Linked DNA regions of Kluyveromyces lactis. The protein of the gene in region 1 purifies or fractionates together with the protein of each later gene. This does not show direct contact. Links are inferred from orthologs where the notes say so. Each region holds a gene or a part of one and is shown on either strand. Other genes may lie near its edges.

Region 1 (17,165 bases):
TGATTCCACCGATAGGCAAGATCTTACCTCGAAGCGTTATCTCCCCCGTCATACAGAGTTTAGGAGAAACAGGTCTCTTCAAAGCGCAAGAAAGGATTGCTAAGGATATTGCAGCGCCTGCGCTGGGTCCATCCTTTGATACAGCGCCCATTGGAACGTGGAGGTGATATTCAGATGTGAGAAATTCATTGATATCCTTCTCGTTCACGCCAGGAATCAACCCACGGAAAAGTATATGTTTCACAAAACTTGTTGCAATCTTGATGGATTCCTCTAGGATGTTTCCTAGATTACCTGTGGTCTTTATATATGGGCCGTTTGTAGCTCCACTCTCATCTGTATGGATCTTTATCACTTCAAATAGCAATACACTGCCACTGCCGTCCGAATTATAGGATAATCCATTGACAACACCAAATTTCTCTGAATGCTCAGTTGGAGCAAGAATCTCCTCTGAAATTGGATGGTGTGCAAGACCAAGGTACTTGTATAAATGTTCTTTGTCCACTTCACCCTGTATCATTTTGTTCTCCACGTATTCAACAACTTTACCCCTAACTATAGCACCAATTCTTCGTTCCAATCCACGAACACCCGGTTCCCTCGTGTACTCTAAGACAACACAGTTCCATGCCTCATCTGTCAAGTAAATTTTAGGTAGCTCTTTAATGGCATCAAGACCATTCGCTTTTATCTGTTTAGGCAAGAGAAATTTGGAGCCAATCATAATTTTTTCATCTGGAGTATATCCAGGAAGCTCAATTAGCTCCATACGGTTCAAAAGAGGTTCGCTGATGCCTTCGAGATCATTTGCAGTACAGAAAAACAAAACTTGTGAAAGATCAACAGGAAATCCTACATAATGATCCGAGAAGGTAGAGTTCTGTTCAGGGTCTAATACTTCCAATAGTGCGGCGCCGGGATCCCCATTAACTCTGTTACCAAATCCACCAACCCCTCCACTCAATACTTTATCTACTTCATCTAAAAGAATTAAGGGATTCATTGTACCCGCTTTTCTTAAAGCACCAATGATCAAACCACACATCGAACCCACATATGTTCTCCTATGACCCCTAATTTCTGCTTCGTTATGTATACCACCGAGAGATATTCTTTGGAATTTTCGACCTAAAACATCAGCAACGCTCTTAGCAATAGATGTTTTACCCACACCAGGAGGACCGACCAACAAAAGGATAGGCGGCTTATTGATAGAAGCCCTGTCTTTCTTAGGATGAAGGTCGGTATTAAGGTTTGGATCATTGGTAGAAATCTCGGATATCTTTAAGACACTGAGATATTCTACTAGCCTGCGCTTAACACTTTGCAATCCATAGTGATCCTCATTTAATTTTGCTCTACTTTTTGCCAAATCTATAGTTGAGATATTGACAGTTTTTCCAAACGGAATGTCCATCACAATGTCAAAATAGTTTCTTAGAACTTGGTAATCGGCATTCTGAGGAGTCATCTTCATGAACCGTTTGAAGTCCTTTTGTAACAGTTTGATACCGTCAGGATGAACATTTTTTTCCTCCAAGGAGTCGATAAAAGACTTAATTTGTTCCATTTCGTCATTTGAATCAGAATCTTCATCGTGACTCGAACTGGTTTTCAAAAACTTGTTTGGGGATGTGACGTCTGTACGTTCTTTTTCGGAATTTGCCTTCAGTATAACGCTGGAGTTATTCCTTTTAATATCATCGATATAAAACCTTAAAGCTCTCAATTGATTTGCAATTAACTTGGACTTGTCATTATTCGAAGAATTGGAGAAGTGATTATTTACATAATCCACGCTATCATCAAGCTTTTTGAAAATTTGTTGGAAGTCTTGGACGCATGTGGAGAATAAAATTGCCCTTGATTTGAGTTTCTTCGCAGTGAGAAAGTCTAAGCGTTGTTTCAATGACATAGGTAGTATACTCATTACCAAGTCCATCATTGAAACTAATTCAAAGCAGGTGTCATAATTCCTTTCAAGCACAGTGAGTTGCTCTAGATAAGCCTTCAATAATTTCCAAGACTTGTTAAAGTGAGACCCATTTAACTGCATGAAAAGAGTGTTCGCTAAGGGAGAAAGATATAAGACCCTAGAATCTATATCACCTGATCTCTTGGATGCTAATGAGTATTTTGATTTGAAGTCTTTGATTATTTTGTCTGTGTCGTAAAATATCTTCACGAAACTCAAAATGCTTTTGTTAATGCTTTTATGATCCCAGGTCCGTAGTTCTGAGCGATCGTCAATTTCTAGGATGCTGGATTTCCATAAACTATGTTGCATATTCAATAGAGGTTGTTTGTTTTCAACTCTTGCGACTGATTTGAACGTAATTGTAATGGTGTCATCTTCCACCTGAATTGCAGTTATTCTTGAAGCAGCTCCAACAGAGTTATTCACGGCTTCAAAGGGTAAAAGAACTATGTACATCTGAACTTCTGCGTCATTATTGCTATTATCAGAGCCGTACTTCTTATGGAACTGTTTGCATGAATTCACAACTGAATTATCGACTACTATTTCGTTCTGAGCAATAGCCGTGTTGATTTTGTCCAATAGATGATTATTCTTGAATGAATTATTTCGTTTGAACTCAGATAGCACATGTATAATAGAATCTCTCTCAAATGAAACCTTGTACGATACACCAGGTAGTGGGACAAGCTTAGGTGCGTCAACAAGTGTAAAGCAAGGCAAATACAAGTTTGAGCCCGGGGAATCAAAAAATAACCCCATGATTTAAATCTTAGCAAGTAGAATAAAAGATATAGCTATATTGTAGTAACAGTGTTTGTGAGATATGCAAAGTATATCGGCAACTCTACCTCGATAGTAATCTGTATTGGATAGCAACTTCAAAGTGCATAATCCGATAGTCATGGACTAAATGAGGGAAGTAACAATTAGTATATCTCATATTAATCATTTCACATTGGAATTTGACAGATCATATTACCCGCACTATCAGCAGTCACAACTATGATAACCACGTGATACTATTTTCTTTGTATCAATCCGGTGGGTTGTCAGAAGGAAACTTCCTTACACAATAGAAACTGCGTTGTTTTAGTATAGAAAACAGAACATACATAAAGGCTATTAGGCTACTCAGCGTTTTTTCACGGTTATTATTGTCCTTTTCTTTCTGAGTAACTTTGTTTTGTTAATCAACCTACAATTAACCTTCAATAGAAGGCAACAAAGAACTGGTGTTAGTACCGAGTTTTCTGTAACTGGAAACTGGCGTCAGTGCTACTTCATTGGCAGTCTGCATCCACTGCCTGTAAAGCATTGACGATTTCGAAGAAGAATCAATGTTGACTGTTTGGATCTTTGCAAAGTTTAAGACTTCCTGATAATCGGTGTCTTTGAATTCCTCTAGATGTTCAATAGAGTATTTTATCAAAGATTTCAAGAACTGCTTGTAAAGCATCTTGCCTAAATAATATGGCCCCAGAAGTATGGTGTAACAACATTGTTTTGCCATATGGGAACCCTCTCTAACCTTCTCATTATCAATTTTCTTTTTGAAATGAACAAGAGCTGCTTTTTGACGCATAATATCCCCAGCAGTGTATATTGGGTATCTGTCAATAAAGTTCTGCATTTTGATGTAACTCTTTACTAACTTCATCATGATAACTCCTCTAGCATTTTGTTGAATATTGGTGTTGTTATCAACAGCAACCTCAGAAACTGGTTCTCCTGTCCAATCACCTTTCAATTTTCTTTTTGTAACTTGCTGAGAGGCATATTCCTGACCGTCAATAGATAGATATTCTTCTGGTGTTGTTTCTGGAATATTTTTCTTGTCAATTACAGACCCAATAGCATTGGTGCTGTTAAATTGGCCATTGGATTCGGCTTCATCTTTTGACTCTGAGATAGATTGCGACAAAAAATCATTCATAAGTTTCAACTCTACTGAATTTTTTTTGTCATTTGGCATTTTTTCAGACTTAACAGATGTTTCACAGGAAGAAGAGGCACAATTACTTTCAGACATCACCTTCTCGATAATGCTTTCAAGCTCCTTTGAAAAGCTATCAGATGATTCTGATATCTCACTAAAATTTATAGGACAATCATAGGCGTCAAGTTTGTAAAATGGAGTTGGTAACCGGCTTAAACTCTGAGAAGGTAAAGGCTCAAAGATATTCTTTTTTGTCTTCTGCATACCAGTAATATGGGCAAACATGGTCGTTGGTGACCTCCCATTTATTGTTTTGGGGTGTAATAATGCAGACACATGTGCCTTTTTATACTTTTGGCCTTTGGATTGAGATCAAGTTTTGAAACTGACGTTTCCAACAGTTTCTAGATCCAAATAACATCAACAATCAGCCATATTGCGAAATAAATTTCATTAACGCAGAGTTCACTGTATAACTTGTTTATTACTTATCATCAATCTAGATTCTAGCACTGAGTTCCAGATAGTACGTTTTGTCACTAGCACATGTCTTCTGAGGGTTGGTTGGTTTTGGAAATTAACAAGTAGCAAGTGAAAAAATAGAAAGGGTGAATATATACTTAACTAGAGCAGCTGCACTGGGTCATCAACAAATCTTCATCCTCAGTGACATTCGTCCATTTTTTCTCTAGTTCGGGTAAAAAAGAACTATCCCAAGCTGATTTATCATATGGGTTGGTTGCCATCAATATTAATTTCTGAAGAGGGCCATTGTCCAATTTTGCATCCGGGTCGTTGAGTTCATTACGCTGCTCATCGGTGTAATGGTTTGCAACACTTTCAAGTATATAGTTTCTGGGGATGAATAACGGATTGAATTGTTTCGCTATTTTGACTCTTTCTGGGTAGTCTGAAATTAATTGTTTATAGTCCTTTGACCAGTTTGATAGGACTTCTGCTTCTTCAATTAGCTTTCTCGTCTCTCCGGAGTCGTCTTGTTCTTGCCCAATGTAATAATCATTGATCTTCTTGGTTTGTTCTTCATTAAAGAAAACTCTGTAAAGACCATCATCTACTCCATTAATTCCTCCTTCATCTAGGAAATTACCATCGTAATTCTGTAAAGCCAAAAAGAAGCTATTGTAATCAACACCAGATACCGTCAAGATTCTCAAAATAGGTTCGATGATGTCCGTAGTAAAAGCAGTCACTTTTTCAGCGACAGATTTTAAATTATCGTCCGTTAAGGTAGCAGGAATATTCAAATCATAACCTAATCTTTTTGCCATCAAATCTGCATATTTTGTTGTGAACCTGAATTCATATTCTAAACCAGTTAGATTAATTATTGCTGTAGCCCTTTTGGATATCTTCTCAATTTCTGGATCTTTCCACTCTCCTCGATTAGTCGTTGGAAGTTTATCAATTAAACTTGGACCTACACCTAAGGGTATAACAAGAGCTTCGGCAAGCTTGATTAAATTCCACCATATAACAGTGGGTTGGTTGGCAAAAGAATAACGCAAATTATAATCGTCGTGGTTTGGGGTATATTGTGGTTGGAACTTGTCCATGAATCCAAATGGACCAAAGTCAATAGAAAGACCTAGAATTGAAGTGTTGTCTGTATTCAAGACACCGTTACAGAACCCATATGCTTGCCAGTATGCCACACACTCTGCATTCAACGTGACTATGTGTCTGAATAATTTATCGTAATTTGTCAAACCATCATCGACCTTTGACGAACGTAGCTCTTTGTTGTTCACAGTATCAGACGTTCCTTCGAAATAATTTGCACTGAAGCTGTTTAATGCAACAGTGTCTCTGTAGTCTTTCAATCCTTCGAAAACATGATTGATTGAAAAGTCTGCTAATTTCAAGAGACCCTCATCATCCTGTTTCCATCTAAACAAATCAAAATTACCGATTCTTATCCAACTTGGTGCAAATCTCGTTATCACAGCGCAAGGCTCAAAAACAGATCTTCTTGCTCTAGTCTTCGGTAGCGATGAGATTTGCAATGCCCTAGAAGACGGAATACCAATGGCGTGCAAACTCTCACATATGAGAAACTCTCTAATACTTGATCTGACTACAGCTTTCCCGTCAGCAAATCTTGAATATGGAGTTAATCCACTCCCTTTTAACTGGACGGTTTGCAGTTTAGATTCCTTATCCTTGATATCGAAAAGGTTGAGAACTCTTCCGTCCCCCAATTGTCCTGCAAACTCACCGAATTGAAACCCGGCATAAGCGAGACTATAAGGAAAAATTTCTCTCGATTCATCGATGTACACGTCTGACCCCTGGCAAATGTTTATTAATGACGAATCACTTTTCAACTGTAAATCTTCCAATGCCTTTTTACTGTGAGCCATGAACTTATAATGAGGACGTTCCTCCGGAACACCGAAAGAAAAGTGAGGAACACCATTGTTCTCGGTTGTCACTGGTCTCGGAGTATGAAACACCAGTTTTTGCCTTTTCAATGATTCTTCATCTTTATTCTGGTATAATTCCTTGGCTGCGCCGACTGACTGCAAGTACCTTTCCGGCTCCATATGCTTAACAACCCTGGAAGTTCCACATTCTTTTAGTACCTGCATAATATTCCTAAAGTCAGCCATTGTGTGAATGATATTATATGTGGATAGGAGCAGCTGATTCCATCCAACATAACCAATATCGGGATTTGATAAAATTAGGGGATTTCAAGATGAGATCCCTCTTCTGAAGTTAAAGGTGGTTCTTATATACCGGTTTTTTTCTGAATAATAAATCTACAGTGAAGGTTGCTATTATATAAGCAAAACAAAGGTGAAGAAGACAAACATTGAAGAGACAAGCACCACAATTGTTTGCATTCCAATCTTACAATTTGAATTGCAGTATTGCAAATTAGGAATTGAGATATACAGACAGTAAGTAACGTAATAACAGCAATTTCATGTCAAAATGCGACGGTCAGTACTACCCTAACTCAATACGCGACGGAAGTTACCGTTTTCCCATTTTCATTACCCGGACTTGAAAATCTCCCACCAAAATCTCTTGAAAGTAAACATCAACAACAAACACAATAAACACATAAACAAATCGTATAATCGATTCATCGTTTCGATGGGAAAAAGGTTGAATTGAAAGAGGAAAAAATTGATTGATTAGTATAGCAGGCAGTTTGGTGTGCTATATTATACCTCTGATCAATATGAGTAAGGAGGAGGATAGCAGTGCTGCTGATAGCAGTTTCAATGACTCTATCTTGAAAGACGATTTTGATCTTTCGACATTGAAGATCGCACAATTGAAAACTGTGTTAACTAGCAATGAGATCGGGTTCAAAGCACATGATAAGAAGGCTTCTTTGGTAAAACTCGTTGAGGATAATTTGGGCAGTATTAGAAAGAATTTAGAGAAAGATGGAGGTCTCAGTCCGCTTGTTATTCCCAGTGTTAAGGTTACGAAGAAAAAGCGCGAAAGCAAAAAAAGGAAATCAACTACTCCAGAATCCCTGGAGAAATCTTTGACCAAGGCAAAGGCTATTAAGAAATCAACCATCAAGGAGGAAAATGAGGCAAAAGATGGTGAGAGGCCTGTTTCAAAGAAGAGAAAGAAAAGGACAAAGGATGAGGATGGTCAGCGCAGTGATACCGAAGATACCAAACCTGTGAAAAAGACTCGTAAAACGAAAAAGAAGGTCAAATCGGAAGAGATTGGGTCCCCGATTGCAAAAAAAATTACCACGAAATCACCTATCAAATCACCTCACAGATCATTGATTATAGACAAATTTGAATCGTCAGATGATGCATCAGATGAGACTGGTAAAGACGATAGCTTCATAAACTTTTCCATCAAGAAAACAGCAAAACCAAAGAAATCTGAATTTCCAGAAGCAAATAGCATATTGTCGGATATCCCAAACGAGCAATCATTAAAGACTAGAGCCGAATTCCCATCAGTGACAGATTCGTCCTTGAACCCATCTACTAGTGAGTCCACACCAATCAAGAAAAAGGTTGAGGATTCCAAACCAGCCAAAACCTTGCAAAAAGTAGAACAAGAGTCAGTCAAGAAAGAACTGCCGGAAGTTCCAGCGACTGAACTGCCAACTTTAAGAGAAGTAAAAAAATTGCAGGAACAAGTGAACCAATCTATTATTACTGAAACCGGGGAAGAGAGCGATACCACTATTACAAAAGCAGAAACTTTTGCCAAGGATGAAGAAAGCGAGGAAGAGGTCCCAAAATCTGCAACCGAAGAGCAGTCAGAAAATTTGTTAGAGGATGAAAACGAAGTTGATGGGGGTGATGAGGGTGAGCGTACAATTGTTAAGGATCCTACCTCAATAATTGAGGCCGCTAAGAATAAAACAGACGAAATACCTACTCAAGAAACTAACATCTCTTCGATAATTAGAAAAGGATTGATATCAACTGGGCGCTTCTTACTGAAAGTCATTTCGTTTTTATTAATACTGTTGCCGATTTTGTTTGCGTTGTGGTATCGTGAACAAAGAATCGCTGTTGGCTTCTGTGCTTCTGAGGTTGACATTCCAACTCTTGGTAGAGAATATTCTAATCCATATATCAACGAATTCGAAAACCAATTAGAACGTTTCAAACCACATTGTATCCCATGTCCAAGCGATGCCATATGTTACCCTTATTTGGAGATCAAATGTAAGCCGGGATACATTGTCGAAGAATCTCCATTATCTCTTCATGGGTTGATTCCTGTTCATGCTAAGTGTGTGAAGGACTCCAGAAAGCAGAAGCTTGTACAAGAAGTTGTCAAAAAGACGCTTGAACTCTTAAGAACTAAAAACGCCCAAGAATCTTGTGGTGAAGATGAAGATGACTATAAGAGCGGAATTAGTAATGCAGAGCTTTACGAAATTTTCTATGAGTCCAAAAAGCCATGGATCAATGACGAAGAGTTCGACGCATTGTGGCAACAAGTCGAGGTTGACTTGAAAGAGGAACCTGAGATTATTTGGAGGCAAGTGAGTATATGTTTAAGATCAACCTCGTGATAAATAAACTCGAAGTATTGGAGCCGCGGCGAAGAATTGACGAATATGTATATGCATATCGCGGTAGCGTCCTTCTGTGATTTATTTATATTACCAGAGATTGACAATAATACAAACAATAATATGTTTTACTAACAACCTTTTCGTTCATAATAATGAGCATCCCAATTTTTTCTGTTTACAGTTACCAACAAGATCAGGAAACAATACTATTTCAGGAGACTCCAACGACATTGATACATCCAACTGGGACGTTGAAATTGAAAGACCGGAGGGACATTTTCAAGAAACAGAATTCCAGCAGGGGTATTTTCGATCTACGTCTAAGAAGTACATCGGTTTGAAATGCCAATTTGAAAGGCAAGTTCACACAACTTGGAAAAGATATCAAAGAATCATTCTGACCGTTGTATCTTTACTAGTAATAGTCCAACTTTTGAAAAGGTACATTTCTAAAAAGCTACAAGAAAGAGAAAGAATAGAAAAGATTTCACAACAAGTGATCAAGAGGTTGCAACAAGCGATTATCCTGCAAAAACAACCGAGATACATGTCATCTGTGCAATTGAGAGATTTGATCTTAAATGATATGAACGATTTGAACGAGAAGAACAGGCTTTGGGCTCTGACTACCAAGAAATTAGATGGTAATACCAATGTGAAGTCGACATTGATGGAAATCCACGGGGAGATCATGAAATGTTGGGAGTGGATTGGTGTATTGCCATTCGAGAACGAATCTGACGAAGGTTCCACAAAAAACAAGAACAACGAAAATGATCAAAAATCACAGGAGTAGTAGTGATAAGAATAGTAAATTAAGATTCTTCTCATTGCGACCTGGGACTGTTCACAGAGACAGTATAGACTTTATGTGTATGCATATAATATATATGAACTATGTACACTAAATTGAATTGTATAACTACATATTTTGTAATTCTCACTTATCTTAGTATACACCGATCAACGACAGAGAAAATTATCACGTGACATATGGCACTGGACGTTTAGGGATTTTGCAAACAACGACATCTCCATTAATCCTAACAAAGCCATCGCATGTAGTCATAAGTCCTGACTCACTACATTGCCGATATTTCCATTAGTCCCGGGGGTGCTGAAATTGAATCCCCATTCTCCAGCGAACAAAAAAGTGGAGATTCACCTCTTTTCCTCCATAATTTATCCAAATACCTCCGATTTTACCCCAGTTTTTTTTTTACAAGAAATCGCTCATTCTAAGTAGACACAGAAATGCATTTCTTCTCCAGGTTTTCTTCAGGAGTTAACATAGAATTCAGACAATAAACCTTGATCCCGGAAAAACATTACAAGGAAGGCCGTAGAAAATGTTTTCTACGGTGTCTTTACCAGTTACTTCCCTGTTTTCCTCTATCAGGTTTGCCACAAAAGCTGAAAAATGAACGCGGTGCAATAGGTGCAGTGTGGGTGTTCAGTTTGAGCAGCCTATTTTTTGTTGATGTGGTTTTTTACAAGCTCTAAGGGTGCTTACATAATGCTACGTACTAAACTTCTCTCTCTATCCCAAGGCCTTCCAGTGAAAGTAGGTGCTTTATTCGATGACTGAAGAGATTCGGTTTGCCTTTAGTCTGAGAAATACTGAATGGTTAAAGTCAGTTCGGGATGCGGAGCTAGATACGTGAAAGTCTATGTTTCTCCGTCTGGCATTGAAAGACTGGGCTCAAGCCTATGAGGGCCAGCATCACTCTTCTGTTTCCAACGCAACCCTCTTCACTGATCTCTTTGGCGTCGCGTAATTGATAGAATTCCTTGCAAGGGTGGGGGGAGGGGGAGAGGAATTTATTGAACGGAATCCCGGTAAAGCTCCTTGAATAGTTCTGATAGGTTTTTTCTGCCGCATCGCTTCAACTATGATGTATGACGACTGTTATCCATTTTTTTTGGAGCGACATACATATATATAAAGGTAGGAAGCGAGAAAGGATATTTTGCGTTGATGGCAATCCTTTCCGTATCTATGTTTATATTCATTGTAGTGTTTTTATATTATGTAGATATGAAGTATAAACCCCAGGAATTTCTTAAGCAGAAGTCAAGATATCCCTGAAAACTTACAAAGGAGTTAATGAGAGCTAGTCCGGTTGCATTACAAGTGTTTAGATCACCAACGGCTAAAGTATTTAAGTCTGGCCTTCTTGGATTTTCAATCGGTTGTCTAAGTGCTGGTCTGTTGACGTTAGGATTGATCGATATTGAGGAAAGACAGCGGAAATGGAATGATGACATACTTGACATGAATCGTTCCATTCGAAGATTGGAAGCTCACGTCAAGTCTTTAGAACAGAGCAAGAATATTTGATTGTTAAACCCCACCTCATTTTACGCTAGATGCACTCATAACTGCACGCCGTTTACTATGCATGCTGGATTTCATAGTTAATGAGCAATGTCCCTTTCTTTTCTTGAGCACAGAGTCGTTTTCTCTGACAAGCATTGGGAACCTTCATTCCACAAACGTATTTACTTATCTTAGCGCTGGTTGTTGTTCGCTGACTCGTATTTTAACCTAAATAAATAAACCAATGATAATATTCATCCTTTTAAAATCATTCATAAGCAGGTTCACTAAATAATGAAGTTAAATAACATTTACTGCTGTAGTATTTATCAGTACATATTATAGTCAAAAATCTCATGCCAATCCAAAACCTTCGTGACCCTCGTTAATCGCTAATAACAAAGAACCACGCAATTGTTCGTATGAATCGTATGCAGGTAAATCCAGTTGGTTGAAACATGTGTGAGATGATGGTAATCTCTCCGTGGAGCCGTAATCTCTATGAATTGAAAACTTCGAGTCACCGTTTATACCGCTCAAATCCTTGAATCCATTCAATGGTAATTTTGATGTGCCGGTAACGAATTGCAACAATTTTGCCCTTTCTTCTTTATCGAAAGATCTCACCGCTCTCCAGAAATAGTTTATCTGTTTACAAGTTGGTGTATAGTTCACGTAGGTTGTGTTGTTCTTCCAATCATCGACATCGATGTCAGGTAACCCACTAATCAATAGCTCTAATTCTTGCTCATCAAAAATTGAAATCAAATCTTTATCAATGACAGCATAGAAACCTTGCAAAAGGTTTTGCATATGGTCCTTCACTGATTCTTGTAGCTTGTACTCTACAATTTTTTGAACATATTCCTTCTTATTCTCTTCAGTAACGGGAATATTTCGGCCATTTGGTATCAAATCAATAGTTTTGTGCTCTCCATAATCATCAGTATCGACGGAAAATGTTTCGTCGATTACGTATGTAATGTCATTTTCAAGCATCCAGTTGAGAGACTTGTAGTATTCCAAATCCAAGGATTCCATGTCTTTCAAGGAAACAGGTTTACCAAGGATATTTTTGTAAACTTCTCTGCTAAAATGACAATCTAAGAAGCAGTTATCACTTATTGCTTTACCAATTATCATACCCACGAATTTGAAAAATGATAAATGTTCAGGATTAATACCCGATGTTCTATTCGGACGGAACTTGGTATTATCCGTACCCACTGGAATAAACAATGCGTAATCAGGGTTGAACATTTGTCTAGAAAGAACTTGGTACCATTCTCTTGTTACACCACCTTCATCAACACCAGCTTCTCCCTTGAAAGTAATATCCAATTTACAATTTTTTATCTCATCATTAGATTTGAAGAAAAGTGCTCTGTATGAATCAAGGAATACCTGATCACGAAGAACAGTTATGGAAAGCTTCTGGCGAGTTGTAGTATTTTGTCTCAATTTTGCCATGAAGAAGTGTCTTTTATTATCAAAGTCCAAGATCTTAGGATTCTTGACCAAAAGTTGGAAGGGGCCGCTCATAAGTTGTGGAGTGGCTCTAATCATTTCATTCAATAGCTTTTTGTGCAGATCAGTAAACTCAAAGAAAAGGTCTTCGACAGGTATGGTCTCAAAATCGTACGACTTTTCAGTGTATTTCAATTGACCAGCAGCAACTTCTCTAACCTTACTGTTTTTACACACAACCATCAATGACTCAATAGTCGGTAGTAAAATGGTAGCGGACGTAGACACAGGTGATTTTTCTTCAAAGGCGCTTAGACATTTGCTTAACGCAACCCAGACAGCACCGAGTTTCATTTCGTTAAACAATGCAACTAACTTGCGTGAACTTTCGGTATCTCCTTCCTTTTGATGAGAATAGATATAATCAACAGCAGTTACAACCTTTAATAACTTGGACTGCTCAGAGCTGGGAGCAGTGAATTTTTGAATGATTTCTGAGTTGATTTCTGTTCCGCTCTTCACATTAGGCAATTGCAAACACAATTCATTCAAATCTGCTATCAACTGGGAAATCGTAGACATTGCCAACGTTCTCAACTCCGAAGTGAAGATCTCCTGAGTATCCTTTATGGAGAAAAGGTTGGTCATTAGGTTCAAGGTCTGCTTGAAAATTTTCGTATTGCACGAATCCAATTTGATCACTGAAACGATTAGTTCCAAATGCTTCTTCTCAATCACAGGAATCTCAAAATTTCTTTTGGAGTTGCTTGCATTCTTCTTTTTAACCAACGACGTAATAGGTTTGGAACATGACTCCAAAATATCCGTTAACAGATCCATTAAAACAGTCTCGTCAGTCACCAATTTCTGGTTAAATAAGGAGAACAAAGCGTTGATTGGCCACTTCATGTTTTTCGAAAAAATGTCCTTTTTGGTCTTGACGTATGGTTTGTTAATGATGAGGTTATCATGTTCTGTGACGAAAAAGTATCTCAATCGAGCATCAGAATCAATCATAAACTGGAGTACCTCAATACATTGATTCGCAACAATGAGTGGGGTGCAATCTGGTGGTAACTGGTATACAATATTTTTGTGATCGGAGGAAGAGTTAGCCTTATTAGAAATCAAGTTGAAGACCTTCTCCAAGGAAAATTGGTCAGCTATCCCCTCAGTTAAGATTAGCAATAAAAAGTTCATTATATCGCTGCGGTTTTGCTTACTGGAGCAAAGTTTGAAGAAAAGCTCGTGATAGGATTCGCGAGAAAGATATGGCTGAGGAATGAAAAGACTTTTGATAATTGTAGCTATGCCGGAACGATCAACTAACGGATCGAAGTGGACGCGTTTTGATTTTGGTTGAGTATTTCCCTGCACCGATTGGTCACTATCCAGGTCATGATCATCTCTACTCAGATCACCGTCAAATTCATCAACTCTTCTATTGGATAAAAGGTGGGAAAATCTTCTGGTAACATTTTCGCCAGCAATAATTTCTTCACGAATATTGGCTGGCACTGAATCCAAGAACTCGTCGTTTATCTCTCTTGAGTTTATATTTTGCTGTTGAGCTTCTGCTCTGCGCTCGCTAATGTGCTGTGCTAGCACTTCCGCTCGCATGTCCTCTGGTAAAGCATTAATAAATTCAGGATCAATATCTGTCCCTCCGATATCCACTTCATTGCCATCAATGATGACATAAACTGGTTCATGATTATCAGTAGCTACCTCAGACTCATTGTCAGATTCATGCACAACATCTGATACCTCTCTACTGGATGCATTTTCAGCCTCATCTTCTGCCATTGCCATTTCATCGAGATTTCTTTTCCTAGTGCGGTCTGCTACTGAATTTTCTTCCATTTTTTGTGCCTTGTATTCGAGTTGACGTTGGCACCACAATTCAGAACTTCTTTTAATCACCCTTGATACAATCTCTGGTAAAATATTCCCCAAAAATCCTTTATTCTCATAAAACATTTCGAATATATCACCCCACCTTTCAGTGGTCTTTTTGACAATTATACCTTCGACTGATTTATTATCCATTAATGATTCCGCTAGCCAGAATCCTGTGATTCCAGATCCAAATCTACGCGCTGGAGTATCTTCAAGTTGATTGTTGGTAATAATATCCTCGACTTCTTCCATGCCATGGGGACCTAGGGGGTTAGTCAGCATGTTTCTGCTCCGATCAGATTCGCCTCCTAATGATATGATAGAAGGTGCGATTGCTGTTCGGTTGTGATGACGGCCACGACGATTGCTTGACATTGACCGGTGATCAATTCGGAAAATTAATTCATCATTGGTGACATGCTGCACGCCTCTATATATGCCTCTACCTTCACCATCAGAATCATCATACAATTCTACACCATCGGATGTAACCCATGTATTGTTGCCAACATTTCTTGCTCTTGAAGGATTGTAGCTGTCTTCTTCTTGCTGGGAGTCGTCACTATTATAGTCAGTGTCGTCAAGCTCAGAAAGGCCAGACTCCCAGTCTGATGATAGTTCGCTATCATCCAAGTCAATTTCTAGGTCAGATCCATAAGCGGGTTCATCAATTTCAACAAACATTGGGGAACTTTCTGAGTAGTAGCTATCATGTTCGGATGCGTCCTCTTCGTTATCGTTGACAGACATACTTTCATCACTTGAGTTATACGCCATGTGTACATCCATATCTTCATCACCGCTGCTTTCTTCAGCCCCATCAGAACTGGAGTCATCCGACTCGCTACTATCAGACTCTGAAATGGAATCTTGTTCATCCTCTTCATCGCTGAAAACAATCTCTATATCGTCATTATCCTGAACAAAAGCGACATCTTCGTCTCCAATCAAAGAGTCGTCGTCCTCATCATCTTCGATGTCTTCGATGTCATACATACCCAATGCAGAATTTCTAAACATATCCGGAACATCGTCTTTGTCGGATTCTTCATCAACATCATCTTCTTCTTCATTATTCTCAAGCTTAAAGAAATCTGAGTAGTCATTTCTAATTTCTGTAATAGAGTTTAATGGATCAACCGCTGCATTAAAAACCTTCTTGGAAAATGGTACATTTAAATCTAACGTTGAAAGACACTCGGTAATAGTCTCAGGTATTCTTAATTCAAGCATCAGTTTGCATATTTCATACCTATCGGCATTTAACTTCTTGCCATCTAATAAGTGATTTACCCAGTTGTCCGTAACCAATAATCTGTGAATTAAGTTAAACCAACCATGATACTTTCCGACATTACTTTCCAAGAACTTTGTTGAGTTAAGATCTTTCATTGCCTTAGATATAGATTCCAAAGTAAACTTTCTGATAAAGGTCATATCGGGATTTGGTGCCTTTGGGTCAGGTTTGTCAACTCGTTCATCTTGAACAGAACTCACAAAACAGGTAAGAACACACGTCGCTAGTTTTCCTATCGTTTCTCTACGTTTAGCAGCATATACGTCTCCATCTTGGGTTTTATAGTCCAAAAGTTGGTGAATGAAAAAGTTTAAAGCAGTAGTACGAGGTGCTGGTGATTCACTATAAATTCCCCGCTTGTTAAAAGTCATAAACTCATACTTAGAATGATTGTAGCTGGACAAAAGTTCCATCAAAACTTTCAAAAGGAATATCATGTATGCACAGATTGGGTTTTTGGAAGCCTTTACTTCTAATCTTTGCTTCTTTTTAGACTTTTTTTCGTCTTCCTTTGGTGTTGCTGGTTCCGTTAGCCAATCTTTTTTGTAGGCAGCCATCAACTGCGAGAGTAAAAGATCTACAATGGATGTTCTTTTATTGAATATTACATCAGCTGATGGAACTATGTCTATTCTTTCATTATTTTCCTCTGGAACTCGCTTCATTAAAAATGAGCTCAATTCGTGGCTTGAAGAAAAATCAACCATTCTGCCAGTTTTACATAGCTCAGTGACAAAGATTTCTGGATCACGCATTATAATATTGGCTTTTTCAGCAATAAGCAATGTTAAATCTCTAGATTTTTCTTTCATATCCCCTATTGCTCTGGTAGTGAATGCACGATTGAGTTCGTACTTTATTAACGATGTAACCACTTCTTTGGTTTCAAAGCATCTTCTGCATAGCAATAATAAAGATGATTCCAAATAGTTAATTTTATCTGACTTTTGATGAGCACCGATTACCTTCAACAGCTTAGGAATTATACCGGACTGAACAATTTCCCTAGCGTACTTTTCATTTGCAGCATAGAGTATTAAAATACGAGAAATGGCCAAAGAAGAGTAGAAATCAGATATTTCAGGAACTCTTATTAACACATTGAAAATGGTCTCTTTATCTTTAGAGGATAGATGTTGCACATCTACGGTCGGTATTTCTGGCATTTTGAAATCCGTTGGCACCTCTTCATAGTCAGGGAACATGGATCTTGATAAGATA
Region 2 (16,654 bases), on another chromosome or scaffold:
CATACAACCTATTGGTCCAAAAGACATTAACAGAAGCTTTGGAAGCTTACAACAATGGGTCTCCTTTAACTTTGGACAGAATCATCTCCGACTTTGATTATACAACGTTACACATCACCAACGATGGCACTGATAAGTCGAACCTATTAGTTTCCATCAGAACCAAGGCTACGCAATCTTGTAATGAGAGTGGGAACGATTTACAAGGGTTCTTGCAGGCAAAATTCGATGAAGTACCAGGTTTGGCTCTATCATCTGCTAAAAAGGAGGCCGGTTACGATTTTACCATTACTGTTGATCTATCTCAAATCACTGCGCAATCTATTGTGCAAGCATCTTTGTTTAAGATCCTTGTAATGTCATATCCATTCTATTTAGCGTTTGGCCAGAGTAATGCTCTTTCTCAATTGAATGAAATAGACCAAGTGGAAAAATCAAAGGAGGCCAGGGCTATGGTTATCAAATACAGAGATGATGAAAACATATACATCAAGCCGTCCTTTGATCGTATCACTGTTATATTCGAAACTATATTCCAAGATGAAACTGACAAAGTTTTCGGTAAAGTTTTCCTACAAGAATTCGTAGACGCAAGAAAGAGAAATAGATCCATCCAATCTGCGCCTCAAGTGCTATTCTCCCATGAACCACCTTTGGAAATTCAAGAAGTAGCCCAACAACACGCTCACGTTGCAGGTGCTAAGAAGTCTACCAGGAGATTCATCACATTTGTATTGTTCCCACGTCACTACTCCTCCGATGAACTAATGTTCACATCTGTGTCACAGCTTGCCCTATTCAGGAACTATTTCCATTACCATATCAAGTGTGCTAAGGCATACATGCATTCAAGAATGAGATATCGTGTTGATACATTCATCAAGGTCTTGAATAGAGCAAAGCTAGACGAAGAAACTGAATCCGATTCACGTAGAACAATCACCGGTAGAAAAATGGTCTACTAAGTAGAAATTGGTTTCAATAATGTGTTTAAAGTATAAAATAGAATGCTGCCGATGTAGCGATTTATATCACGTGACAAGTAGATGATCCTATTCAGATTTTTTTCCCTCCGTAATGCCATGCAATTGCTGGGCAATAAACGCTCGAGCCTTGAGTCAGTTCTAACACAACCAAAGAGGAATGGAAAAAAAAAAAAAAAGACCGGGTAAAACCTACCTGAGTGGAAAGAAAAAAAAAAACAACGCAACTCCGAGTCGGACCATTCCGTCCCAGTTTTAGAGTGCTTGAGAAGCTCAAGAAGCTTAATTTTCAATTTTCCTCACCCTTGTTGCAGCTGCGAAGTAAGGCACAAGGTAAATGGTACATGGCCTAACCAGAGTACTAACGCCGGTCAAGTTTGGGCTGGAATTAGCACTGCCCTGCCTTGCCCCTTCCTTTATCTGTCCAAACCCCACTTCACAATTCAGAACGGAATGACAGCTGGGCAAGCCTATACTGCCAATGTTCGCAAACTTGCATTCTGGAACCAAAACCCTACGGCCTTACCTGTTTAGCCATTCCTTACATGGTAATGCCATTTGTGCTTTTTTTTTTTCCTTCATTAATTCTACGCCCACGTTACTGGGTCTTACCCAAACGGAATATATTTTATGATATCGTCGGCAATTTGGGATGCTATTATCCAGTACTCCATCATAATATACCTCCCACTTTGCGCACGGCTCATAAAACCTACGCCAAGTTCTGGTAGTTACCTTTTTTTTTTATTTTCGAACTTCAAAATGGCTCAAAAACGGCTTCAAAATTGAATCAGGAAAAAAAAAGCATCCAAAGTTATGGAAAATCCCATACAATGAAACGACGACACAAGGTGAAACAAGAACCGGTTTGAATCTGTCAAAGCAAAGCCGGAGTGAAGAACCAGATAGCAACGCAATGTTTTTAGATGACTGATCGTATATTGTAGAATTCTTTTTTCGTTTTCCGGGAGTGCCTAAGTCCTCTTTCATATATCGCATAGCCTTCCGGTTGCAGCCGCAACCAAATAGCAATTGACTGGGGAAGAAAACCCAACCACTGATACAACGATTCAGAATGGAATTTGTAAAAGCATGACCCAGTAACTAAACTCCAGCAGAACGAGCTATGTCATTGATATATACATTAAACAAGGTAGTGTTTTTTTTCTTATCTTTATTTAGTATGTCTGACCTGACACTGACTCAAGGGAGTTTAGCGCTCATTACCGAGTCCCTTGTTCCTTTACCAGGCACCAGCTGCTAACACGCCATGAGTACTAACGAAAAAGAAATCTCCAACATGGCTAGATCTCCGGTACAGCAACTCGTATGCGACAGTTTATGAGCTCTTTTTTTTTTTTTACTACCTTCCCTCTCGCTCAGCTATACTTAACTAATTTCTTTCCTTTCCTTCCAGAGCTTCCAAGCAGTTTTTTTTTTTTGTTTTTGAGTGATTATATTCTTGTTGATCTAATGCTCTGCAACTGAAAGGAGAATGCCGAATCATTTTTCCATCCTTTGGGAAGGGCAACGAGTGGGTATGCTGCTGCGACTTTTTCTGTAACGGTTTGGATTTCACCGTTTGTAGTGTGGCATACGCAAAAGACCTGTCCATGTAGGTATTCATCATTAATATGGAACGCACGGCTTGTCCTCGGGTTTCTTTAGTTTGGTTTTTTTTTCCCTCGAACAAGGGTGCTTGCTCCTCTATGTGTGAGTTTGAGTGTGGGATGGTCAAGGGAGAGAGCGTCGGCTCTTACGTGCAAATGTGAAGCGCTACTTTTGGACCCGCTAAAGCCTTTGATTTTGGAAAAATAAAAAAAAAGGTAAGATGCTTTAGCCATATATATATGTATATATATTGAGCATTAAAGTGATTTACAGGTATGTATGGTGTTGAAATACGGAATTGGCGTATGTTTTTTGTGTAAGCTCTGCTACTGTACGTATTTTTTTGTTATCCCATAATCAGACATCAAACGGCTGCGATATTTTTGTTGTACTTCCTAAGATATCAGTACTAATATAATATTCTATGGTTTATATTATTCACTTGGGTAACGAATTCTAATAGCATTTACGATTGGAAAAATAAAGAAAAGGAAAATATGGACGTTTTATCTCACTCGAGCGTCAACGGTTCCGATCATGTACAAATGATCCAACTGCCACCAATTTCATCTTTTGATTCTTTGATCAGAGCTGCTTCGGTAACAGATAACAATAGTATAACGTCTTCAAATTCGAATTTTAACGCAGGTACGCCGAGTCCAGGTGTGACGAATGGCCAAGTTCAGTTCACTGTGGGGTCTGGTACCGTAAACATTGCACCACGTACTTCTCGAACGTCGGTACCGAATAGCTTGATGGCTTCTACGTTGGTAAGCGTGAGTCCCCGTGCCAGTGCAAGTGTAAATGCAGCTTATACGAATGCCAACACTCCTAGCACTCATCACAACGGTAATTATAATGCTGACCACGCGGAAAGTTTTAGTAGCAGTGTCAGTTTTAATGATAATAACAATAATAATATTCAACACAATCAACATCACCATCATAATCTGCAGCAGCAACTGCAGCAGCATCAACGTCATCCACAGCAAATACAACGTCAAGAGTCAAACAACCACTCTGTCCCTGTAGTCGTCTCTTCCGGTAAAACGTTTACAGATTCTTTGATGTCCTACCAATTCGGAAGCACAGGCAGCTCCGGATCAAGCCCTAACGGTCAACAATACCGTCCATCTTCATATTTCCAATCATCATTGTCGAATGGTAACGGTTCTCATACACAATCCCCCTTTGCTGGTAACCCTGTTTCGCAACCACATCATCAGATAATCCCCAAACTTAATTCAGGTATTTCAAATATGAATTCATTAATGGATCAACAAACGTCACCTACTAGCGATAATAATAATAGTAATGTGCATCACCAGCAGCTACATACACACTACGGTCAAGGCCACGGTAGCTCTTGTAACCATACACACTCACATTCCCAAGGTAGCTTGCATCATATGATTTCTCCGATATCAACAACTAACAATCATGCGACAAGCCCAACAAATTCAATTGCAACGGTTTTATCACCAACTACATCGACACCCTCGTCTACGGTGTCGAGTACATCAAAACTCTCATCGTTATCCACATCAAGTGATCTAAATACACATCTTATGGATAACTCGAAATCGGCTAAGATGAAGATCGAAAATAATGCAAACATGGTTTCCAAAAAACAACCAAGAAAGAAGAAGCAATGTCCTTTATGTGGTCTCTTTTTCTCTAATTTATCAACACATAAGTCAACCCACCTGTCACCCGAGACACGGCCTTTCAAATGTGAGGTTTGTTCTCGTGGATTTGCCAGATCCAATGATTTGATAAGACATAAAAAATTGCATTGGAAAGATGACTTAAACCAAGAATCTATGGATTTTGTTGAGAAGTTAAAGTGCTTGCATGAATTAAAAGGAACCTATAAATGCCCTTTTAACTCTAACTTGATTAACTTAGATCTAAAATTAAAGGGCTCTGACATGAAAACCGCAGATTTGCCATTCGAGACTTCAAATTGCCATTCAACTGGGGTTTTCTCACGTTGCGACACTTTCAAAAACCATTTGAAAGCTTTGCATTTTGAATACCCACCAGGAACAAAGAAAAAAGATAGAGCGAACGTTGCAGGCCATTGCAAACACTGTGGTCAGAAATTTGAAAGTATTGAAACGTGGTTAAAAGATCATGTTGGCAAAGAATGTGGCTATAACTACACTGGCTGAGAACGGATATCCAGGGTAATGTGCTGGCACAAAAACGATCTATGGAGTGAGGAACGAACAAACATAACTAAAACAATATGAAACGAATTATACCCGGGAATATGTATACCTCTATTTCCTTACCCAAACATACGACACATAAACGCACGGATTGTGAATACGGTACTTGTAGCACTACATGAACCGAACTGTCCATATATATGTATTTATATAAAGTTATATATTAATGAGAAACGAGATTTTTTAATAATTACTTCAATTTACTGAGGTTGGCACTAAAATAATTAGCGAATGAAAGAAATAAAACTGTTTATGAGGCAAGTGTCTTTCATTCAATTGAATGTCGGAAGAGGGTACTAGCTTTATGATAACGTTTTAGATGTTATATTCTTTTATGATTAGCAAATCAATCCTTAAGTTCCATAGTATCCATCATGTAAACATTTAACGCTTAAAAACTTTTATATTTATGATATATTTATATATAAGAAGAGAGAAGGAGAAAAAATAGAGACAATGTAAATGCCTTTTCAATTTTGTGATCGGAGGTCACAATTATGATTATCTGTCTCTTCGCATCCGACGTCTGATCAGTAAAATATTCTTATTATGTGCCTGTGAATGTTGTAACTGTTTTTCTTTCTCTCTTGGTTAATATGCGTAATTCAAAATCATGAGAAGGTTCAAAAGACGATGAGAGTTATAGTTCGTAAAATAATGTAGTAAGTTGTTAACATATTAATATATCATGTGGTGATGATAAGTGTGGACTATGGAAAGTAGGAAAGAAGGTGAGAAAGTATAAATGGAAATAAATAGGAGAATTGGTCATGAATTGATGGAAACTAAAGAAACCAAGTTAATTGTTAGCTAGTTCAGTTCTTCTTCTTACCAGTTCCGACACCAACGTTGTTCACGTTTCTGAACATGTAAACACCCTTGGAGTCAGCATCGTCAACGTATTGGCAAGTTCTTGCACTCTTCCATAGTGATACCCACATATTCTCATCGTTAAAACGGTAATGTTCACCCATAACCTTCTTGATAGCTTCTGAAGCAGGTCTAGCGTTGTAGAATGGAATTCTGGAACAGTAGTGGTGCAGAACATGTGTTTCGATAATGTCGTGGAAGATATGAGGGCCAATGAATCCGAATTGTCTATCAATAGTGGCAGCTGCACCTTTAGCGAAGGACCATTGGTCAGCCTCGTAATGTGGCATAGAGGCATCTGTGTGTTGCAAGTACGTGATGAACACTAACCAATGGTTAACCCAAATGTATGGAACAAACCAGTTAATGAAAACAGACCAGCCGCCAAATTTATCATACCATATCTTCAACACCAACGATTGTGTCAGAATACCCAAATCTGATAGCAGAATGTAAATGTAGTCTTTATCGTCGAACACAGGAGAACTTGGCCAGAAATGGTTCCATTTCCATTTTGGTACGTCTGGATAAGGCTGACCAGTGACATTGGTTAGCAAATAGTAGATCCAACCACCCAATTGTTGAGTAAGTAATTCTATCAAAGTTCTAATTGGAGAGTCTTCAGAGAATTCATCGATGTCAGCAAGAATACCACGAGACTTGACGAAATCTTCTTTTGTCTTTGGTACGAAAACCATATCTCTAGTAATATGGCCGGTAGCCTTATGATGCTTAGAGTGGGTATATTTCCATGAAAAGTATGGCACTAACAAGTAAGAGTGCAAAACCCAACCCACAAAATCGTTGACAGCACCATAATCAGAAAAGGCTTGATGACCACATTCGTGTGCTAACACCCATAGACCAGTACCGAAAAGACCTTGAACGTAGCCATAAAATGCCCAATACACAAACCTTGCAGCAACGTGTAGATCTTTGACGTATGGATAAGCAAAGACATTGGCAAAGTAACCGATACCGGCCATGATAGCGATATCACGGAACACATAGTATAACGAGACAGCTAACTTTCTATTATAGCATTCTGGAGGAATGGCACTTAAAATGTCCTTGATGGTATAATCCGGCACTTTGAACACATTACCATGTGTGTCTATAGCGACTTTGCAAGACTCGGTAGTAGTTTCAGCATCGGTTACGTACTGAGACTGAGACATTGTTTTGATTGGAAAATGTCCACAAGTAATCTAAAAGCGGGCCCAGTTAAAATCAGGAATATAAATTCAATACCAAAAGGTACACCGGGTGATACAGTCTAGATTAAGCTCTGAATTTATGCAGCAGAACCCCTTTTCACAGCCGAAACAGATATCAAGAGATTAGCCTGATGATATGTCCCTTTTAAATAGAACTAGATTGCTCAAATCTATCACTATATATATGTAAATATTCTATAACTCAAAAACTCAAAAAGACCAAAATTGGGACAATCTTAATATTTAAAATTTAAACTGCCTTTGGTTTTATATATTGGAAATGAAATTACGGTAAAGATTTGAATTAATGTATTTAGACAATACGCCGCAGCAGCGTTAACGAGAAAAAAAAGTAAGAAATATATATTTCGAAAAGTAACGGAGTGCACTACATTGATCTCCCTGCCAGCGCGCGTCAAGAAAGGGTCCACATTGGAAGTTACTGATGCCGTTGATATCCAAGGGCCTGGACTTAACAGGGCATGAGGATGGATTTATCACTCCGTTGCTGATACCAATCGTAACACAATCTTGCTTATTCACTATATACTACAAATAAATACTAAGAACGAATATCCAATTGGACAAAAAAGCACCTATAAACGATTGTATTGGCTACGCTTAACGGTTTAATGTTTCAATTCTTTTTTTTTACGAATTGTACTGTGGTGAAATCAGCGAGGGACACTGATTCTTTATGAAACCAAATCCAACCAAAAGGAAAATGCGTCAAAGGCTAGTAGGGAGAGAAAAAAAAAAAAAACAAAACAGACACCAATGTCTGATATCTTGCCATCGATTGACAATTGAGCTTCTACAATAACACTGGATACTCCCGGATCTCTCATCAAGGGTGAGAGAATGTACAGTTGATCGATTGAAGGTGTAACATTGCCAACAAAACTCTGTAGCAAATCACGCGATCAACTTACATATCCAATAGGATACCTCAAAAAACAGTCCGTAATCTCCTTGATGACAGAGAAGCTTACACACGCTTCTCTTTAGTGCAAAGTGACAATGACTACCCCCTTTCTGTTTCTCTGTAACTCATCGCATCTCATCTCATCTCGTCTCATCTCATATAGTATGGGGACCTGTTGTTTTTCTTTTTTTTTTTTGTTGGGAAAAACAAGATCGAGGATCGGAAATTTCTTTTTCTAAAAAAACTAACGAATTTCTTTTCGGGTTCAGGTGAATAGGCACAATTGATTTGGCAAATCTGGCGCAGATGTTAAATGTTATCCGGGTAATGAAGAACGTCACGTGGTTTGCCACATTTCATTCTTTTTGCACTTGTTTACCGGTATAGAAACAGAGTGGATATCAGAAACGTCGTAGAAATAAAGAGGAAACACATAGTGAAGGGACGATGGCCGGGTAGTGTAATTGCCAGTTGAAAAAATCGTACTTAGCTCCAGTCAAATGAGGGAAAGGCCTTAGATTCAACCTTCGACAGGCAGAATATGGTAAAGATGTCCAAAGAAAAAGGTTCAATATCATCACTTATCCAAGTCACCAGAATATACAGGTAACTTCCCATTATGTCAGACAAAGATGGAACCGCTAGTGGGCTTAAGGAAACGCCAGATTTCATAAAGAAACCTTTGTCTCATGACGAATTTTTTGTTAAGCTTGAAAAAGCTTTCAGAATGTCCAAGGTATCGCACAATCAGCTCAAAGTAAGCTTGAAAAGAGACTTGGGCAGTCATCACGTTCAAAAACCTAATGAATTGGATGTTACTTCCAATCCTACTGGTGATATCTCAAAGATGTCAGAATCCAAACGTTTAAAACAAAACGCTCAACCAGATACAAAACCATACAGACTTATCGTGCTAGTGAGCATGCCATATGATGGGAAACGAACGAAATTCTTCACTTTGGTAGATTCAAAGACTCTTGATAAATTTTGGAAGGATTATGTTAATGTTGTAAAAACAAGTATGTCTGGATTAATTAAAAAGAAGAAGAAGAAGAAGGGTGGTAAGAAAAACTGATGAAATATTCCCAACCTATTATCACCCATGAATCATAAATCCGCAATCGTGTAGCATTATAAAGTACATGTTATATATACATATATAGATGTCAAACTGCAAACCAGTAATTTGGTTTTCATTCGAACTCCACGACAATTGTTCCCGATGGATAAATTGTCCGTTCTTCCTTGATCACTGTGGTTGGCTCCAAACGGGTTCTGGGCACAGGTGAATATAGTTGAAAGTCATACTGATACTCGTAATTTGGTTTTTCTTGTGTAATATCATTCTCGCTGCTAGTGTCAGATAATAAACCTGCTCTGTATAATGCAACGTATGCGTAAATCTCCTCAATTGTTAATGAAGCATCAAATCTTCTAATAATTCTTTCATTTTCTAGTCTGATGCTTACTCTGCAACCGTCACCCGATGGTTCTGGCACTAGTACAGATTTTCTCCAAGCCAACCATTTCTTTTTAAGTTGGCTTTCCTCGATTACCCTATCCCTTTCCTGGTCCCTTTCTAGCGATTCTTGGTATCTCGAATCTTGTTGTTCTCTTAATAACCGTTGCATTTCCTGGTACTGTCTTTGCCTTCTAATCTCAACTAATACTGAATAATATGAGGCTAATTTGGCCTCAAAATGAGAGAAATCATAATCAAATAGTTGGCCCTCCACTCTGGCAAGCAATTTCATTTTATTATTCCGTTGGGGTCCAAGGGCACCTAAAAATGGAAACTGTCTAATCTTTAAAGAATTAGCAGTCTGTAGCCCTTGTGGTGTTGTAACATCGCAAAACCATACAACGCAATTATATTTGGTGACACATTCTACAAACTCGTTGGAAGTTAAAATCTTTCTTACGTACTCGAATGGATCGTATAGTATCGGATTGAAGAAAGATATTATTGCAAATTTACCATCGCTGGAACACCGACGTAAGATATCAGTGTAACCACCCTTAATCATATTTTTGCTCAACATTCCATTCTCTACATTGTACAACGTATCGAATGTATAACCACTCTGTTCGTTGGTATCGGCTGATGAAGAAAGGACATCTATAACATTTACGAATTGGTTACCCAAATCATCGCTGAAATGATTGTCTTTTCTTGTGTAGAAATGAAAGATCTTGCCTATTGGTTTGAAAACTTCCACCGAAGTTAACAGGATATTGAGCAAGTAATATAGTAATGTTAGTGGAATGTATAAGCACATTTTTAATATTCTAGGAACGCCAGCATTCAGTATTGTTTCCTGTTCAGGTTGTTCTGTATTATCATTGTCTTCAGGGAATGATCCTGGGAGAGGGGTAAAACTCACTGCAGGTTGGTTCTGCTGAGACGGCCTACTGAAAATGTTGAATACCATGTTCAACAGTTGCAGATTCGTTTCTATAGAAGAGTACAGCCTCTAATATAGGTGAAGCTTTCTCTTCTTCTACTGAAGATTTACCCTATGGATACCATTGACAACTTTTAAAGGATGTCTGATATTGTTTTTTAAATGTCAAATTTAATGGACAGACAATGATAGATCATCGTGAGTGGAAATTCACAAAGAAAAGCGCCACGGCTAAATAGTACAACTAAGGCATTTAATAGTTAGAGTATAATTCCCGATGATTGCTACTCTCAATTTTATTATATTCCGAAAGTTATTTTCTTCACCTATGGAGTCATGTTAATTTAGGTATCATAATGAGTATATAGTTTTATAGTATTACACATGCCATCAGAGTTAATCGTGAATTCATTACACTTTCATTGACAGATTAGACATGGATGGTTCTCCGCGTCTATTAATGAAATTGTTAACGTCAAGGATAGCCAGTCCGAATATGGGATGAATAGGCTCAACTTCCGGTTCTGGCACAAGTGGAGTTGCAACAAAATCGAAGGGTGAATTGTTTCGGACCATAAAAGAATGTTCGCAAATTGATAAACCAGCCAACACATAATTGGTATGATAAAAGTCCGCTTGTGTTCCCGGTTTATCTCTTAGGCCAGGGCTTTCTTCCGATTGACAGCATTTCAATATATATTGTTTTAGGGCGTCTTTATCTATGCATACTCCATACCCGTATGCTTCTAAGATTGCAGCAGTTCCGCCAACCCAAAAACTGTAGCAACCATCTGTAAGTTTATTGCTTCTTCCGTTTAAACCTTTCTCCTCTTTAGTTTGACGAGAACTACACCATGACAATAACGCATCGATATTGACCTTATCTAAGGCATTCAACATTGCCAAGCTGGCTACTGCACAAAAAGTGTAGCCACCATGTGCTTCATCATTTGGGCAGCCTCCGAAACCACCCTCGTAAGATTGGCATCTTGTCAAGAATTCCGTCACATTACTTGTTAGTTTAGAGTCCACAATGCCTAGTAGTGACGCTATAGATAATGCAGTGTATACGCCTCTCACATCTTGTTCGCCGACTGGGCGTGCAGTCATGAACGCGCCGCTAGGTGTTTTAAGAGAAATGAGCCAGTCGTATATAGCCTTTTTATTGATTTCTCTGTTATCATCGAGATTGTGACATAGAGCGATGGAATTTATAGCAGCGTATGTGGCCGCTAGATGTGGTAGTTGATGCTTTCCGCCGCTGAAGGGACCACCTGTAGGTGATATATACCATAGCTTGTCCAAAATACGCTTCTGATAATCGTTCGTAAGCCAAGTGGGATTCATTGTTTTGAAGGCATTGCCAATCCAGTACAACAGCCATGGCTGAGAGGCATCGAGTGATTTGAATCCCGAAGGTAATGGATTATTTAACCAATATTCAAGGAACATCTTATGAGAATCCTTCTGCAAATGGTTGAATTTCTCTGGAGCCTTTTCATAAAGCTCCAGACATTCATTTATTAACTCTTCCCTTTCCACCAAGGTTTCAGTAATCAGCCCTGTATTTGAAGTTCTAATTTCCATCACTTCTTCCTCATCTACCACTTCTTGCTCTATTGTTTCTCGTTTCCTTCCAAGCACATTGGTTCGAAGATAACTCATCTTTTTGATAGCCCTGGTAGCACTATTTATAGCCATTGGCCTTTGTCCAGATCTTTGCTTTCCTGTTCTCGCCCTCTTTGATGCTTCTGAAACTGGCAATTTACTATTACGAAACCTCAATCTTTATTCAAATAACATTTACGGTAGATATTTATAACTGAGAAATGAGTTTAATGCATCGATAACCTCAAAAACTGAGAATAAGGCTAAATGACTAATTGACTGATGCCCAGAGGAGCGCAAGCTATGCTGGAAAAGCAAGCAGACTCTGTGTGGAACCAGCTGTATGAGATATGCTGGAACTTCTACGTGAAGAACGTTTGGGATATTAACACATTTAAAGCGATAGTGGACAAAATAGAGAAAAGTGATGACAAACAGCTAATACGGTTTTTGATTTGGTTTAATGATGCTCGTAAAAGATCTAATTTCAATGACAAGTTCCAATGGATGACGTCTTTTTTGTATGGTAGGCGTTATCCGCCATTGGGCGATGATCTAGTGGTCAAAGAACCCTGGAATGATTTGCAACAATTAGACAGTATTATAAAGTACGGGAATGAACCAATTGACTTGGTCAAAATGCAGCCAGATTTTACTACGGAGGAACGTATTGTACAGAATAGGCGGGTCAACAACTGTTCTTTAATATGTAGTTTGACCAATGCTAGAGAGGAAAATCAGATAAAGAGTTATAGCGTCCATAACGTTTTCAACGTGATTCTTCATTTCAATGGGTCAAATCGACTAGTGTCAGTATTACGAGATTCAAATTTTCCAAAATGCTCTAAAGACGGGGCTGCCTTGACTCTCTTCTCCCATAATATAGAAGATATGTTGATTGAGCTTGCATATTTCGAAATCAAGAATAATCGGAACTACGCGTATGGGGGATCCAATACAGCTACTGATACTTATTTGCTCACAGGATGGATACCAGAGATTCTCAACCTAGGAGACGTATCATTTAGTGAAATACGTAAATGTTACCAATTCAATGCCATGCTTGCTTTAGGAACAGATTCAGTGAAGGGAAAAGAGGTAACAGAAAATCATGATTTTGTTGTGACTTCTGTCAATTGGAAGAAGGAACAATTTACCATCCTAAATCCTCACGGTACTGAAAACCCCACTGTGTATACTTGGGACGACCTAATAAAAGAATTCAAATGGTTATATGTAAATTGGGATCCATATTCAAAGTACACTCAACGTGTAAAACTACATGATCGATATCCAGATAAATTTAATGCATATCCTACCTGGACTCAAAAACCTTTGATGTGCATTGAGAACAAATCAAACAGCATTCAAAATTGTCATCTTTATCTAGAAAGACACCTACTAGATGATTCTATTCTCGAATCCAACCTGACAATTGGTGAAATTCCAAGGTCTGGGTTTACAGCTGTCTCAGCGGAGGGGAATAATAGTGGATTCTGTAATATGCAACTGCGGCTAAACCCCCATGAAACACGTCTAATCTTTTATCATTCAGACAAAAAGTGCAATTTGACTTTCCATTTACTATCTAATTCTGGTTTGGTTTCAATGTCAAAATGTAAATCAGATATATTAACTGCTGAGTCTAGCTGGAATATCACAAATAATCAGTGGACTATTGGTACTTCTGAATATTTCAAAAGTCCTGTTTTCAAACTAAAAAGTGATGGTTTCGATGATACTTATCTAGATTTTGAGCTAGTCTCGCAGTTACCAGCGAAGGTGAATTTTCAAATATTTGAGTCCGATGATTATGCCCTACAACGTCCGATCTTTAAGAATGACACATACTCCCCACAAATTTTTTCCAAGCATGGAGTAAGGTTATTAAAAGGGAGAGAATACTTTATAGTATGCTCCATCGCTCATCATATTACCTCTCCGTTCATATTTACGCTGCGAAACCCTGAAACAAAGCAGTCAAAATTTGAACTATCTCCATATTCGTTAGGATTTGGGGGATTAAGATATAATGAGGTTTTGCGGTGCAAAACGAGAATCACAATATCAGTTTCAAATTTCACGCGGTTATTTGTTCTGCTGTTCACGTCAGCTTCGAAAACAAATGGAAGACTCACGTTACGTTTGTACGAGAAAGAAACAGAGGAAATCCTCTTTGAACAAATAGAAACAAGGTATGATCTTAGTGTTAAACCATTCCCGATACCGAATATTGAACTTAAGCCAGCATCGTACGTGTTAGAAATATTCTACAATGCAGATGTTGTGATCTGTAATCTCGGAACTTCTCACCGAGCTATATTCGAATCGGATCTATAATTTCAACAAGTACGTTGTGGAGGTTTCCACCCACAAGCATATCCATCACATTGCATCACGTGATTTGTATTTATGTTTGCTCAAAAGGTAAACAAAAACGATTTATAAGATAAATAATGAAATTTGTAACAATTAAGGTCATAACGATCTTTGTCAAGCCGTTTACCGTTGATACTAATGCAAAAGCGCGGAAACAAAGCAAATAAATAATGGCATTTTGGCGAAATAGACATGAATCACCAGCCATTTCACAAGAAAGAAGCCCCAGTCCTGACAGGTTCCAAAATAGTGAAGATATAAGGGAAGATAATAATAATTATAATGAGGATGAAAAATTAGGATGGTTTGCTTCGTTCATGGGAATGTTTTCATTACCTTACGACTGGTACTTATCTATCAACGAAGATATAGCTGTGATTGACTGGGATAGTAAGTCAAACTCGGTAGCATGGCCTTTAGGAAATGTTCTAACCTTCCTTTTCTTCTCCGTACGATTATTGCAGGACAATGTGATAGCCCCAAACATCAATAAGCTAACTCATTCTGATGATGCATTTGACTTTTCAAAATCTAAGAATCTTCAGAAATATGATTATTTTCAGCAGTATGGAGGTTCCGCTTCTTCAAGCGAAAATTTATACTACAAAATGTTAAGACAATTGCACCGCCTGTTTTATCTGCTGACGGTGTTGTTATTAATCACTAATATTTCGGTAACTTATAGATATCTTTTCGCGCATTTCCAGACCTACTCGATTTTTTATTGGAAAACTGTTCCGAAGTCGAAGAATGTAACCAAAAAATCACTTCATGATTTGAACCATACCTACGTCGAAGACGCCAAAAGAGACTCTTTATGGGGGATGATTAAGTATCTCTTGTTCAATGGGTCTCACGATGATGAGACAAATAGAGCCCATTATTATGAATTACGAAAATGGACACCAAGCAGGTTTCTTACATCTTTTTTTGTCTCATTTTCTCCAATTGCATTCTGTTTCTTGTGGATGACAGATGTTACTTTCAAAACTCTTATTCCAATCATTATTCACCAATATGTTTTATGGTTTATTGTTATTGATCGATACGAGCAGAAATTGAAGGATGAGCAGATTTTGAGCATGTCCAGTGTGGCTGAATTAAATTCAAAAGTTATTCAACCTAAAATGAATGTCTTGAAGCAAGATGCGATGGTTGACGCAACACCTTATAACGATGGAATAGTTTACTTCTATCCGGCTTACACCACTACAAGGTCGCACGTCTTTGCAACCCACACTTTGAGTGGGAAACTTAGTAAAGAAAAGTATAATCCTCGCACAGATTCATTCGAGGATGCCAATTCACAGCGTACGGAAAACTACGTAAGGTTCTCGTACCATCACCCTAAGTCAATAAATGGTGCTTATGTACGAGAATCGTATCCTAGCAGACAGCATAGTCCGCGTTTGAGCCCTTCTCGCTATTCTCATCTTCAAAGTGGTAATACACCTTCCGCTCCCTCCACGCCACTTCTAATACCATCTCAACAACCTCATTTCGATCATTCCATGTTGGCCAATGCATCTAGAAATCATAATATAAGTGAGAGAAGAAACTCTCATAGTCCTATTAAACAACACTTTGCAAATAGGTTACTAAACTATCCGGATGAAACAAATGATAGCATACCCGATGTGTCTGATGACAGATTCAGAATGGATGATCGTTTCAGAAGAGGCAGACAAGGCTATTTCAATCGATCTCCCGACATCAATTCTGGTACGTTACATTACGATGATGGTGATGATGATGATAACCGTATATCAAAGTCTCCCTTTCGGAATTCATCGTCTTCACCATTTCGGTAGTTATTCACTCAAATACTCACATTCATTGAAGTTTGGTGCACTGGAATTTCTTGAGGTATCCGTAAATTATATAAACATAATACATCTCTAATTACTAAAGACAATGAGACTATAGGTCGTTCCACCCGAATAACCAATTGTTGACCCTTCCAATTAAATTTGTTGGTTGTTGGTTATTCCCATGCTGTTCCTGTTCTCGTAACTTGTTCTCCAAATTTCTTAAAAAGTTTGGACCACCATGAGGAGGGTTTGCATTATGCACAAACAACTGCTTTCCATCTTTGACATCCAATTTCCGAGTAGAAAAGGTGAACCCATGTTTATTATTATCAGCACTTTCTTGTGTCCCATTTTGTATATCAGATGATTCAGGTCCGTTTGGTTTCATCGATAAACTGAACGGGATTTCTCCGATGTCATCAGTTTTATCGATTTTGCACGAAGCCAATTGTTCTACGGCTGTTTTGCTATAAGGAACGCAGCCAATTAAACAACCTCCATAAACGGTACCATTCTCTTGTAGAGCTCTCAGAGCGGCACTAGGGGAGTCATACGTGATTTTAATCCATCCATCGCCCGTGAAGATAGGATATTTCTTATGAGGAATTTTA

What was found.
Region 2: the proteins of KLLA0_B01826g (region 1) and NUR1 purify together in Saccharomyces cerevisiae (affinity purification with mass spectrometry; 3 studies listed by BioGRID, with this or other methods). This does not show direct contact. The link is inferred for Kluyveromyces lactis from reciprocal best matches to the Saccharomyces cerevisiae genes SRC1 and NUR1.

What each region holds. Positions count from the first base shown.
Region 1 is NC_006038.1:148,422-165,586, reverse strand, and holds KLLA0_B01826g (uncharacterized protein), read left to right. Parts: upstream 1-7,131; coding exon 7,132-8,928; intron 8,929-9,142; coding exon 9,143-9,757; downstream 9,758-17,165. Other genes in the region: KLLA0_B01892g (uncharacterized protein), read right to left, coding at 1-2,743; KLLA0_B01870g (uncharacterized protein), read right to left, coding at 3,186-4,205; FMP40 (Fmp40p), read right to left, coding at 4,541-6,550; E3 ubiquitin-protein ligase TOM1, read right to left, coding at 11,636-17,165. UniProt on the Saccharomyces cerevisiae protein: Plays a role in sister chromatid separation.
Region 2 is NC_006042.1:672,130-688,783, forward strand, and holds NUR1 (Nur1p), read left to right. Parts: upstream 1-14,402; coding exon 14,403-16,043; downstream 16,044-16,654. Other genes in the region: ARC35 (Arc35p), read left to right, coding at 1-965; KLLA0_F07073g (uncharacterized protein), read left to right, coding at 3,092-4,768; KLLA0_F07095g (uncharacterized protein), read right to left, coding at 5,644-6,876; RNA-binding signal recognition particle subunit SRP14, read left to right, coding at 8,460-8,915; clathrin-mediated endocytosis regulator UBX3, read right to left, coding at 9,034-10,272; RAM1 (protein farnesyltransferase), read right to left, coding at 10,657-11,946; RIM13 (Rim13p), read left to right, coding at 12,136-14,193; FG-nucleoporin ASM4, read right to left, coding at 16,153-16,654. UniProt on the Saccharomyces cerevisiae protein: Member of a perinuclear network that controls recombination at multiple loci to maintain genome stability. Required for rDNA repeat stability.